3 linked regions of the Canis lupus familiaris genome follow. The main gene of each other region encodes a partner of the protein of the gene in region 3 in a complex. Links are inferred from orthologs where the notes say so. Each region holds a gene or a part of one and is shown on either strand. Other genes may lie near its edges.

Region 1 (3,741 bases), on a different chromosome or scaffold from region 3:
TCAAAAATGCATAACACTACAGAATCAACTAATAGAATGTCCTAAACCATCTTTGGGTAGGAACTGTATATAGTCCACGGGAGTTTAGTGTAGTAGGAGTTGAGGTGTTTTATGCCTATATTAAACATATTTACAAAAACAATTAGAGTTCCAGTAGCAGCCTTAAAATATGTGATCAGATAAACCGAGGCTGACTTAGATTTAGGTAAATGAATAATGTTTCTTTCCAGATCGATGCTTAATTTTTTCCCTAGAGAAACACAATATAGCTCTACTAAACAGTGCTAAGAGTAGGAAGCACAAATAAAATTAAGCAGAGAAAAATCAAAGGAATGCACTATGATTGGAATGCCGGGATCCTTAACTCACCACCCTCAACTCTCTTTTACCCCAACTCTGCATAGACCCATTAGGTCATTATCACTATTGTTTACCTTAAACACATCTTATTCGCGTAACAGTTGAAATATTTTATCAGCAAATTAGCCGACCACTTGACCACCGATCATTTAAAGTGTACAGTTTTATTATTTTCTAATCGGAATTTACAATGCTTCGAAACACTTAAAAGGCAGAGGCATGTCCCCTTAAGATACCTGTCTAAAAGTATTGTATCTTAGGGAGTCCTCCGCGTTTGTTTCAGCGCAGGGAAGGAACTAGAAGGAATCGTAAATGAAATCCTTAAGAAACAAGCTTATTGGATGTGTCACCTAGTCTATTTCTGGATCGCGAATCTCCCGCCCTCTCTGAGTTACCTCCCTTGTCAGATAGGAAAATGGAACAAGATCGATGAAGAGATAAGCTCCGGGTCTGGCTTTTCGATGTTTCGCTCCAGCCCCACAGAGCACAGGGCATGGAGTTAGGGCTGCTTTCCAAGCCTGCTGGTGGGAGAGCGAGCACCCCCCCCCCCCCCGCCCCCCGGCCGCTCCCGGCTGCAGAGCGCGTCCTGGCTGCGACGCCGGCCGGTCCCGCTGCCCGCTGCCCGCCGCCCGCTGCCCGCTGCCCGCCTCCTCGCGCAACCTCCACACCCACGGAGCCGCCCGGGCGGCAGCCGGTCACCGCAAGGTTTCCTGCGCACAAAGCCTAAGGGGCCCCCGAATGGCAGCGAATCCCGGGCCCGGAGCAAGGCTAGAGGTGGTTGGCTGGCGACACTGGTCTCTCGGGGTCTGGGAGCGCTAGTCAGCCCCTCCGCCTCTGCACCCCGCACCCGCACCCCGAAGGCAGGACTGCGCCCTGAAATCTGCCTCCCTCCCGGAGACACAGACGTGCGCGCACACACACCAACTCTCACTCACGCACACCCACCTCGCCCCTGTCCCCCTCCCGCCCCACCCCCGGCAGCGCTGTAGGGACCGGTCTGGGCTCTGCCTCAACTTTCCCAGGGCGCAGCCTGCCCCACGCGGCACCCGAGCCGGGCGCCCTCCAGAGGGACGCGTCCTCGTCGGGGCCCCTTACCTCGCACCGACAACTCCTGGCAGGGACTGGAGCTGGCCGCGGTGGCAGCGGCGGCGGCTGAGCCTGCACCCGGGCTCCGGCTCATGCTTGGTGCTTCCTCATGCGACACAAAAGAGGTAGCTTGCCGGCTTTGTCCTTTCAGATCCGAGGAAGAACTTATTTTGCCCCCGAAATGGCCAAGTTGTGCGCGCCGCTTCCCGTCACCGTGCCCCCTGCCCCCGCCCCCTCCCGGCCGCGCGCTGGACCACTGCCCGGCGGCAGAGCATCCAGGCCTCCGGGTCGGGGGAGTGGGCAAAGGGAGGCCCGGCGGGGGCTGGGAGAGCGGGAGACCCGGCGGGCTTCGGCGGAGGGTAGGAGAGCGTTTCCCAGCCGAGCGCCCCTCGGCTTGACCGGCAAACCCACTTCCCAGGCGCGGAAAGCAACTTTCCTTCACCTTGGCCAGGCTCAAACCGCAGCGTCTAATGGGGACCCTCGGCGGAGGCACGGACCTCCTGGCATTCTCTCCCTCGCACTCTCTTTCTCCTTTCCTGCCTCTCCCGTTCGCCTTTTCCCTCTCCTCCCCCTCCCCCTCCCGTAACAGGGGTGTATCTGCAGAGTCTTCAGTGAGCCCGGGCACCTAGACCAGAGGTTACTATACGCGCGCCGGGGCGGTTTTGCGAGCCGCCTCGCCTCGCTCTGCTGGAAATCCTTAGGCAGGACGGCGAAGGTGGGAGAATTTCCGAGGGGTGGGGCGGAGGGGCGCGGGGCGGCAGGAGGATCCGCGGCTCCAACTTTGAAGCTCTGCTCGAGCTCTCTCCTGCCTGCGGGAGGGCAGGGACTAATGGCCCTGAAAGAACTCTCCAGCGATCCCCGTGCCACGGGCTGGCCGCACGCCGGAGGAGAAAGGGAGAGCGGGAGCTGAGAGGCGGCGAGCGCGGCGGAGAGCCGGGTGTGCCGCTCTGCCCCCCGCACCGCCTGAGCGCACGCTGCGAGCCCCTGGAGAGGGCCGGGGCCGAACAGTCTCTGGGTCAGGCGGGAGGGAGACGCTCCTGTTTCCTAGCAACCCCCATCAATCTTCTTGGGAGAGCTCCCTCTGAAGGAATGCGATTGGACAGCCCCGGGAGGGAAGCCACGCCCCCTCAAGAATGCTGGGCTGCTGCTTTTTCGCATTCTCCTAAATTTCTTAGGTGGAATTAAGATCGGAGGGGAGTGCTCCAGCGCCTTCCTTCTCGTCCTCCTGTGCTTCCACACAGCCTCCTGGCGGCGACCCCTACCCCTCCGCTCCCACATTAGCCCTCCTCTACCCTCCTGGGGGTTGGCACACACAGGCACTGCTCTCCACAGAACCTCTTCTTTCTTCTTGAAATTAAATAAATAAATAAATACCTTAAACCGGTGACGTAGGCACAAAAGAGAAAAAGCCACACGGAAATAGCTATAATAAGCTCCGAGCGACAGATACGATCCTAAAGGTAAAATTCCAGGGATCTCGCTATGTTTAGAAACACATTGTGCTTAATTTCAGAATCGAAAATTCGCTGCCATTAATTTTCCCAACCCTGATACACTAACTTTGTATCCTTAAACAAGGACTGAGTTATATAGAGCCGGAGACAATTAAACTCAGTGCTTCAATGCTACATTTATTCGTTAATATTTAATGTTAAGTTGTTTAACAACTGCCTGCTTTTGTAACCTAGAAATAATTTTACTACTGATTCTTTCGGAGAGCTGACAATATTTAGAAGACACGTGTACTTACATACTCCATTGTGAACACCACTAAAACTAGAAACTGGAGTATATTAAAATGACAGTGTTATTAAATAGTGAAACTCTAAAAATGCTAGAAGTTCGTCTTCCAAAACCATTCTTTCTGGAATGCAACAGCAGTGCCAAAATAACAGCAAAATCATCCTTCTCTTTGTGTTTCATTGTTATTATCTAACATGTACCAAAAACGCGTTACACTTTTCTAAGAGAGAATTTTCACAATGTCTGTCCAATAGACCAGCGCACATTAAGGAGCAGTGACAGGACAAAGGAGAGCATAAGGATCTATTCACTGCAATGCTTCAGATATGCATGAAGCCATGTTGGCAGCTTTCAGTTCCTTCCAGAATGTTCCACAAGATACCTTTTCTTTTTTTTCTTTCGAAGACTATCAGAATCAGCTGAGATAGGGAGAAGTCGAAGAGATCTGATGTTTTCATTCATTAAAAATAAAAGTAGCTGTGTTTGCACAAAAGAAAGCACTGCATATGGCCTTAGCTGCATGTAGGCTACTTAACATATTGGAGTTGGTGA
Region 2 (3,641 bases), on a different chromosome or scaffold from region 3:
ACAGTCACACAGGACACTGGAGCGACTGCGTGACGTGGCCAGGGGCGGGCTCTACGGAGCCGGTGGCCCACGGAGGGCGCGGGCTGTGCGTGGACGCGTCTGTGGCTGCGGGAAGTGCGCAGACGGGAACGTGAAGACCGCAACGGTCACGGGCACTTGGGGCCGCCGCACAGACCCTGTCCCTGCTGCGCCTGCGAGGGTCCGGGCTGCTGGGTGTCCCCATCGTGCGTCCACTCTGCCCCCACCCCAGGGAACCCCGTCTTCCGCCCGTCCTGGGCTGGGTCCTCCGGGAGGGCACATCGGCCGGGCCCAGACGGCGCCCACGCCCACTCGTCAGCCTCGGAGGACGGCGTGGCCGAGGTGCCGAGCGCGGGGGTGGCTCTCAGGGCCTCTCGGGACGAGTCCAGGCCCGTGCTCGACACCCGCGGCCTGGGCACCAGCCTCTGCTTGCAGGCGCCCACTGGCCGCCTGCCCACCTGTCCTGCTCGCCTGCCCGGAGCCGACGGCGTGTGTGGGGTCTGGGTTGGCCTGGGTCCCGGGGTCCTGGGGGGCTGCTGGCGGCTGCCCACCCGGCGCCGCTCTTGCAGAAGGAGCCGGGGGTTCTCGGAGCGCACAGCTCGGAGCAGAGGGCCCAGGTCCAACGCCGCCGCAGGTACCGTGCCAGCCAACGGCCGTTCTTACGGGAGGGGCGGGTCCTGGTGCCCGGGCTGGGAGCAGGCCTCCTCGGCGGGGTCAGGGCTGCCCACCCGCTGCCCGTCTGCTCCCTTCAGGAGCCCAGTGACAACCTGCTGTAACAAAAGCCCATATTTCATTTTCCAGGCCCTTCTGCCCCTCGAGCCTCCCGTGAGGCAGCTCACACGGCCTCGGCCTCCCCCGGCTCAGGGGACCTGCCAGGGCACGGCCAGGGCCAGGCCATCCTGTCTGGAGACCGGCTCCTACAGACCACGGAGGCGCCTGCCCTTCCGGGTGCCCGGGGCTGGGGCCGCTGTGCGCGGCCGTGACGGGCGACCCGGGGCCTCAGCCTGGCAGCCACGGGCGCCTGTGTCCACGGCTCCTCCTCCTCACCTGTGGCTGAGTCCCCACAAATGGGCGAGGAGGACGGGGAGCCGGGTCCAGCCGACGCCTGCCCCCCCGACCCCCGGGGGCCCCTGGGCACCGCCCGTGGAGAGGAGGGGTCTGGGCGCCGAGGCCGTACCAGAGGAGGCCAGCGGTCCTCTCCTCGCCGGGGGCGCCAGGGCAGCGGCCGCCCTCCGCCCACAGCCCTGCCTCTCGGGGCGGCTGCCTCCCCACGCCAGCCCGGCCCGGCCTGTGCCTTTCATTTCTGTCCTCCCGGATCACCCCGTAGTGTGGGAACAAAGAAACCTGCCTTCCCCCACCACTAATTTCTTCTCATTAAAGGCCCTTTCTGGATCTGGGGTGAAGCAATCTCTCTCCGGCTTTCAAAGAGGGGCAGAGGGAGAAGCTGCGAGAAATGAGGCCTCTGGGGGTGGGCGCTGAGTCCCCGGCCTCTGCTGAGCCCTGCTCCTGCCCCGGGGGTGGGGGGCTGCAGGGAGAGGGGGAGGGGGGAAGGGGGCGACGCTGCCGTTGGGCCTCCCCTCCTCCCCCCGGCCCTAATACAGTGTCTCCCGGGTGACGTTGCTGGAGAAGGTGTGGTTGCTGGACACGCTGTTGGTCTTCCTGGCGAAGGCCGGCCTCCTCCCCCTGCGCCCCCACAGAGGACACAGGCAGGCCAGGGTGGACAGGAAGGCCTGGCGGAAGTTGGCAGAGACCAGGTTGTACAGGATGGGGTTGATGGCCGAGCTGACGTAGAAGAGCGCGTTGGTCAGCATGTAGAAGTAGTGGTAAAAGTCGTACAGGAACCTGGGGGCGAGGGCAGCTGTCAGACCCGGCCTGGTGGTGCCACGACCCTCGGTGCTCGGGACAAGGACATTAAATTCTCTGACGTGGGGCTATTTCAGAACAAATTCCGGGGCTGCGGCATCTCTTGAGGTGCTGGGAGTTCCGACCACGCTCCCGCTGGCGCCGGTCGGGGGGCTGGCTTGTGGCCGTCCTCCCCGCCTGCCTCCACCCCTCCCTGCGGCACACCGGGCCCGCCCGTCTGCGTGCAGGAGGCCAGCTCGCTGGGGCTAAGGGGTGCGGCCGGACCCCTTCCCTGCTCCCTGGAGGGCTGTGCTCCTGGGCCTCGGCTTGCTTGCCTCCACCGACAGGGATCTCACTCCCTCACCAGGCAGCCCTGGGTTTCAGAAACCCTTTACTCAGCACCGTGCTCTGCTACCTGCAACTTCTCCTCGTCTGTCCTGGATCTGCCCTCCCCATGGTTCCCCGTCACTTTGAAGAAGCTGTGACCCTCGGACCAGGCTGCCCTGCTAAGCTCACGCACGGCGGGGCCTGGGGCTGTCGTGTCAGAAGGGCGTCCTGGCAAGGCTGGCCTCTTGCACCGGGGTCTGGGAGCTTGGATGTCCGGGGTCGCCACCCCCTGCGAGGAGGGGCTCTCGGGGCCTAGAGCATCCTACGCAGAGCAGATGCTTCCTCCTGGGAGTCTGGGGCTGGGGCGCGCGGCAGCCGCGGCATCTACGTGAGCGGCCCCAGCAAGAGCCCTGGGCTTCTGGCCGGCTGCCCAGCCGACAGCGTTTCACACGTGGCCTCGGTTCGTTCGGGGCATTTGGCCTGCGGAGGGGGTTCTGGAAGCCGGGCCTGCTCCCCAGGACGCCTCTGCGGGCTTGTTTCCCGTCACTGATTCTGCTGTGTGTCCCTGGGCTGCGGTAGGGCCCCGTGTGGGTGTGGCTGCCCCGGGGCCCCCCGAGTGCTCGCGGCTCCCCCAGCCTGGGGGTAGTCTAGGACACCCAGACAGTGGTTGCGCCCCCAGGTCCCACAGGGCCAGCCCTTTCTGTCTCTCTCCAGACGGCTCTAAACTCGTCTCATACCCACTCTCAGCTCTGCTCTCCTCTTCTGCTGTGACCTGCCCCGTGGCTGAGCAGCCTCAGCCACGGACGTGGTGTCCATCCCCCTGTGGCATCCATCCCTCCGTGGCCTTCCTTCTGCCCCCAGCCCACTCACAGTCACACCAAGAACATGCGGGGACACCTGACCTGCAGCCCTGCCTTGAGCTGCTCTGTTCCGCGCCCCCACCTCCCATGCCAACCTGTTCTGGGGAGCTTCTCCCAGCCCGAGCCTCACCCCTGCGCCCCAGGCTCCCGGTACTCACGGGGTCCACTGCTTATCGGAAATGTAGCAGAACATGAGGCGCCGCACGTGGTAGGGCAGCCAGCAGACCACGAAGGCGATGACCACAGCCCCTGAGACACAGAGAGACGGGGTCTCGGAGGGTGAAGGGGGGCATCCTGTCTGAGCCCAGAAGACTAACCAGTGTTAAATTGTCAGTGTACCCACCGCAGTCTACAGGCTCCGTGCCACCTCTCTCAAAACCCCGAAATAGAAAAACCCATCTTAAGATCCGTGGGCGTCTGGAGGGACTCCTGAAACAACCTTGAGGAAGATGAGCTGGAAGGCTCTCGTGTCCTAATTTCAAAACCTACCACAAAGCTGCAGTCGTCAAAACAGTGTGACCTTGGCCTAAAGACAGAGAGCCCAGAGGTGAACCCTCACAGATATGGGCGGGTGACTTCCTACGAGGCTGCCGA
Region 3 (3,641 bases):
CGGGCGGCTGCCTGGGGAGGCAGGGTGCATCAGAGTGGGGGGCTGAGGCCAGCCTCGCCTCCTCGCCAGAAGACAGGGCAGGGCCTGCCTTGAGGAGGAACAGGCACGAGAGCAGGGCTGGGCAGTCTATCTCAGAAGTCAGGTCCAGCTGTTTCCAGCTGCCAGTCTGGACTGTCTGCCCAGGGCTGTGCCTCTCTAGAGAACACTACCTCTTCTGACACGTGGGCTGACCCATCCCACACCCCACTGCCGCCCCCACTACCACCTGCTGCTGATGGCTTCCCAGGAGAAGTAGGAAGTAGGGGTTCAGGGTGGCTGGAAAAAACTCTTGCTCACTCTTTAAAATGATCCAAATTTTGTGTTTCTTTCCAAAATAAAATAAAAACATGCAGTCTCATGGGGCAAGACTTGAAGCAGGGTGATGGAGGAGGCAGGTTCAGCATTGTAAAGGGAGAAATCCTGAGGCCTGAGGCCTGAGCCCTAAGCCCCAGACAGTTGAGCCACTTTCTCCAGGAACCCCTCCAGGACTTGCCAGCCTTCCAGAGGGCCCTTCTTGGAGTTTCTGGGGCTGGAATATGCGGCCCCTCCTCACACACTTCCAGGTATTGTTACTTATCTCTTCTCTGACTTTGCTGGTCTTGTCTCTCTCCCTCTGCCAGTAGGCAGCCCACACCCAGCGGAAGCTGTGCCCTTCTCACCGCTTGTGGATCTTTTCCTCCAGGTTCTCGGCACAGAAGGCTTTGACCTCGTAGTCCACACCACAGGCCTGAGGAGAAGGGGCTGCTGACCACAGGGTCCCGACAGCACAGCCATCCCACCCTCTTATTTTACAAACCAGGACCCTGGAGGGGAATAGCAAACTTCACAGGCCAACCGCCCCTCAGCCTGATTCAGGACCCTGTGATCGGCCTCAGCCCCAGTGCTGTGCTGCACCCCAACCCCACCTGGCCTTCCCACAGAGCTCCCCTAGCTCCCCCAACACTGGGTGTCCCAAACTGCCCTAACTGGGCTCCACCCTGCAGACACCTGCCTGGTCTGGGCAGCTGTCCTCATTAAGGCAGCCACTCGGCAATAACAATGGGGGTGCTCAGCAGTCCTAGGAGGGGAGCACAGACTATGTGCAGACCCAACAGTGCTCTGGTGGCTCACTCCACCCTCTAAACTGCAGGAGGAGGCATAGCCTCTCATCTCCATTTTGCAGGTGAAGACAAGGGGGCTCAGAGATCTGGGGCCTGTGACACTAGTAGTGTCACTTCTCTTGGAGCCTCCATTTCTCCACTTGTGAGACCACAGTGAATGGACCCCCATGCAAGGTTGTGAGGCCAAGAGGTAGTCCAGAGAACATTTTGGTTCTGCTGCAGCCAACAGTAAGCCCAGGAGAGACTGCATGTAATGGAATGCGGGGGTGAGGATGACACCCTATCTGCCTGCTGCCCTGTATGAAAAGAGCCGGCTTATCTGAGGCAGTGTTGAAGTGGCTTCCACACAGGGAGGCTTCCACACAGAGTTCCGATGCCTCTCAGAAAGCCAGGGCCCTGGGGATACAAATGTCCTTTACCCGGAGAGAGGCTTCCAGAGACGTGACCCACCTTCCCCGTGTCTTCAGGCCCTGGCTGCAATGTCACAGAGCACGGGAGGTTTGGAGGGATCTGTTAAGAGGACAGACAGGTCTCCTGTCACATTGACCATTGAGCTCCTCATGTTGCCCACCCACCACCCCCACACACATTTATCAGACCAGGGGGCCCTAGCAACAGGCCATGTCTCCCCCATCAGACCATGCCAAGGATGCCCCACACTGGGCCAGAAGCCCTCCAGTAAAGCCAAGGATTTCAGTGCTTTTCTTTATCTAAAGGATTTTGCCTAGGGGCATCTGGGTGGCTCAGTGGTTGACTGTCTGCCTTCGGCTAAGGTTGGGATTCTGGGGTCTGGGGATCGAGTCCCGCATTGGGCTCCCTGCATGGAGCCTGCTTCTCCCTCTGCTGTGTCTCTGCCTCTGTGTGTCTGTCATGAATAAATAAAATCTTAAAAAAAAAATTAAAATAAAGTGTTCTGCCTAGATTGTAGTAGGCAGAACAAGCCCCCCCACCCCCTCAAAGGTGCCCACCTTCTAATCCCCAGAACCTTCAACTGCTACCTTACTTGGCAAAGGGGATTTTACAGGTGTGATTAAGTTAAAACTCTTGAGATGGGGAGAGTAGCCCGAGTTATCCAGGTGTGCCCGATGTAATCACAATGGACCTTAGCAGGGAAAGCAGGAAACAGAAGAGTCGGTGTCAAAGTGGTGGGCTGCAAGAAAGACTGACCAGCCATTGCTGGCTTTGAAGACAGAGGGGTAGGCTTCAAGCTAGGGAACACAAGCAGTTTCTAGAAGCTGGAAAAGGCAAGGCCTAGAGCCTCCAGAAAGAATACAGCCCTGCTGACACTTTGATTTTAGCCCAGTGCAACCTGTTTTTTTGTTTGTTTGTTTGTTTGTTTGTTTGTTTGTTTTGACTTGTAACCTCCAAAACTGTAAGGTCAGAAACTTGTGTTTTAATGGTCACATTTAATTCCCACCAGGTTGGCAGCAGCTTGTTTGTTACAGCAGCCACAGGAAACCAATACATCTGCCATGGACAGGATGACTGTAATGTCTCTCCTCTGGTTTCCCAGAAAGCCAGGGGATTTCACTGAATCACAGAATCAGAGTCTGAGAAACAGGAAGTTTTAAAATCCAGAATCTGGGAGTCTTTCCATTTGGAAAAGTGGCAGAGCAGGGAAATCACTACATGCCATCCCTCATTAATGAGCTGCGCTGGAGCTCAGCTGGAGCTGGGCCGAAGCTGGGCATGCGGGCAGCTGGTCTGAGGGAGGAGACAGTCCTGTAGTAATTCAGAGGTGAGAAAGGGCTCCTTCTTTCTCTGCAGCCTCTGCCCACCCGGCTCTCTCCCGCCACGAGCTGGACTCGGGAGGGTCCAAGGAGTAGCTCAGAGGTAAGGTGACACCCCTGGCAGTGGCCAGAGAAGAGACACTTACCAGGAAGTATAAGTGACAGTGCCCCAGGTCCCAATGTACACTGAGAAATTGAGTGACATGGAGCTGCTGCCCCAGCTGTCCCCATGTGCTTGCCCACAGGGCTTCCTACTGGTGGTGCAGTTGGCAGTCCCTAACCTCAAAGGTGAAAGGATAGGCATGCTCGCCCAGCTTCTTGATGAGGCGCTCCTGCAGCCGTGTCAGGGGCTTCTTGTCCTCAGGGGCTGGCGGGAAGGACTGCACGTTGGCCACAAACAGATCCTTGCGAAACGTCAGGCCCAGGACATCCAGGTCCTCCCGGCCATAGCGGAAGGCGCAGGTCAGTGTCACGTAGACTGTGGGAGCAGGGGGCATGGAGGATGAGCCCAAGAGGGCAGCAAACAAGCCCCCAAGAGCACCAGCTGAGCCCTGGGATTGGCCCAACTGGAGCTCAAAGGTCTGTCCCAAAGCTCCTGTGTGGGAAGGCTGTGCAGCCCTCGGGATGGGGGTACTGGGTACCCAGGAGAACCACTCAGACCTGGCCCCTAGGGGGAGGTGAGGGCTGACTGCTGGATCAGTTCTGTCCTTTCCCATGCCCCACTCTGGCCAGTGTGGGGAGCACAGGAGATGGTCTGACAGGGTTGGTGAGG

What was found.
Region 1: the proteins of ARRB1 (region 3) and GRM3 are in contact, whole or in part, in a cryo-EM structure (PDB 9II2), measured with the Homo sapiens proteins. The link is inferred for Canis lupus familiaris from reciprocal best matches to the Homo sapiens genes ARRB1 and GRM3. Residues at the interface, in NP_004032.2 of Homo sapiens: Gly5, Thr6, Arg7, Val8, Phe9, Lys10, Lys11, Ala12, Ser13, Pro14, Tyr21, Arg25, Arg65, Glu66, Asp67, Leu71, Gly72, Leu73, Thr74, Phe75, Arg76, Lys77, Arg103, Leu104, Lys107, Pro133, Arg236, Phe244, Asn245, Thr246; in NP_000831.2 of Homo sapiens: Pro605, Lys608, Ala609, Ile669, Phe670, Asp671, Gly672, Val673, Lys674, Asn675, Ala677, Gln678, Arg679, Lys681, Phe682, Ser684, Cys761, Pro762, Glu763, Phe765, Val834, Val835, Thr836, His837, Gln855, Ser856, Ser857, Ala858, Ser859, Thr860.
Region 2: the proteins of ARRB1 (region 3) and NTSR1 are in contact, whole or in part, in a cryo-EM structure (PDB 6UP7), measured with the Homo sapiens proteins. The link is inferred for Canis lupus familiaris from reciprocal best matches to the Homo sapiens genes ARRB1 and NTSR1. Residues at the interface, in NP_004032.2 of Homo sapiens: Tyr63, Arg65, Asp67, Leu68, Val70, Leu71, Gly72, Leu73, Thr74, Phe75, Arg76, Lys77, Asn245, Thr246, Ala247, Gln248, Tyr249, Lys250, Lys284, Arg285, Gly286; in NP_002522.2 of Homo sapiens: Ser93, Leu94, Gln95, Ser96, Leu97, Gln98, Thr100, Val101, Arg166, Ile170, Pro173, Lys177, Phe286, Ser287, Met288, Ala289, Ile290, Ala297, Leu298, Gly301, Ser368, Asn370.

What each region holds. Positions count from the first base shown.
Region 1 is NC_049235.1:12,835,536-12,839,276, reverse strand, and holds the start of GRM3 (metabotropic glutamate receptor 3), read right to left. Parts: upstream 2,439-3,741; 5' UTR 1,456-2,438; intron 1-1,455. UniProt on the Homo sapiens protein: G-protein coupled receptor for glutamate. Ligand binding causes a conformation change that triggers signaling via guanine nucleotide-binding proteins (G proteins) and modulates the activity of down-stream effectors.
Region 2 is NC_049245.1:47,459,610-47,463,250, reverse strand, and holds part of NTSR1 (neurotensin receptor type 1), read right to left. Parts: intron 3,297-3,641; coding exon 3,206-3,296; intron 1,861-3,205; coding exon 1,611-1,860; 3' UTR 1-1,610. UniProt on the Homo sapiens protein: G-protein coupled receptor for the tridecapeptide neurotensin (NTS). Signaling is effected via G proteins that activate a phosphatidylinositol-calcium second messenger system.
Region 3 is NC_049242.1:23,396,104-23,399,744, reverse strand, and holds part of ARRB1 (beta-arrestin-1), read right to left. Parts: intron 3,348-3,641; coding exon 3,151-3,347; intron 1,650-3,150; coding exon 1,590-1,649; intron 767-1,589; coding exon 699-766; intron 1-698. UniProt on the Homo sapiens protein: Functions in regulating agonist-mediated G-protein coupled receptor (GPCR) signaling by mediating both receptor desensitization and resensitization processes.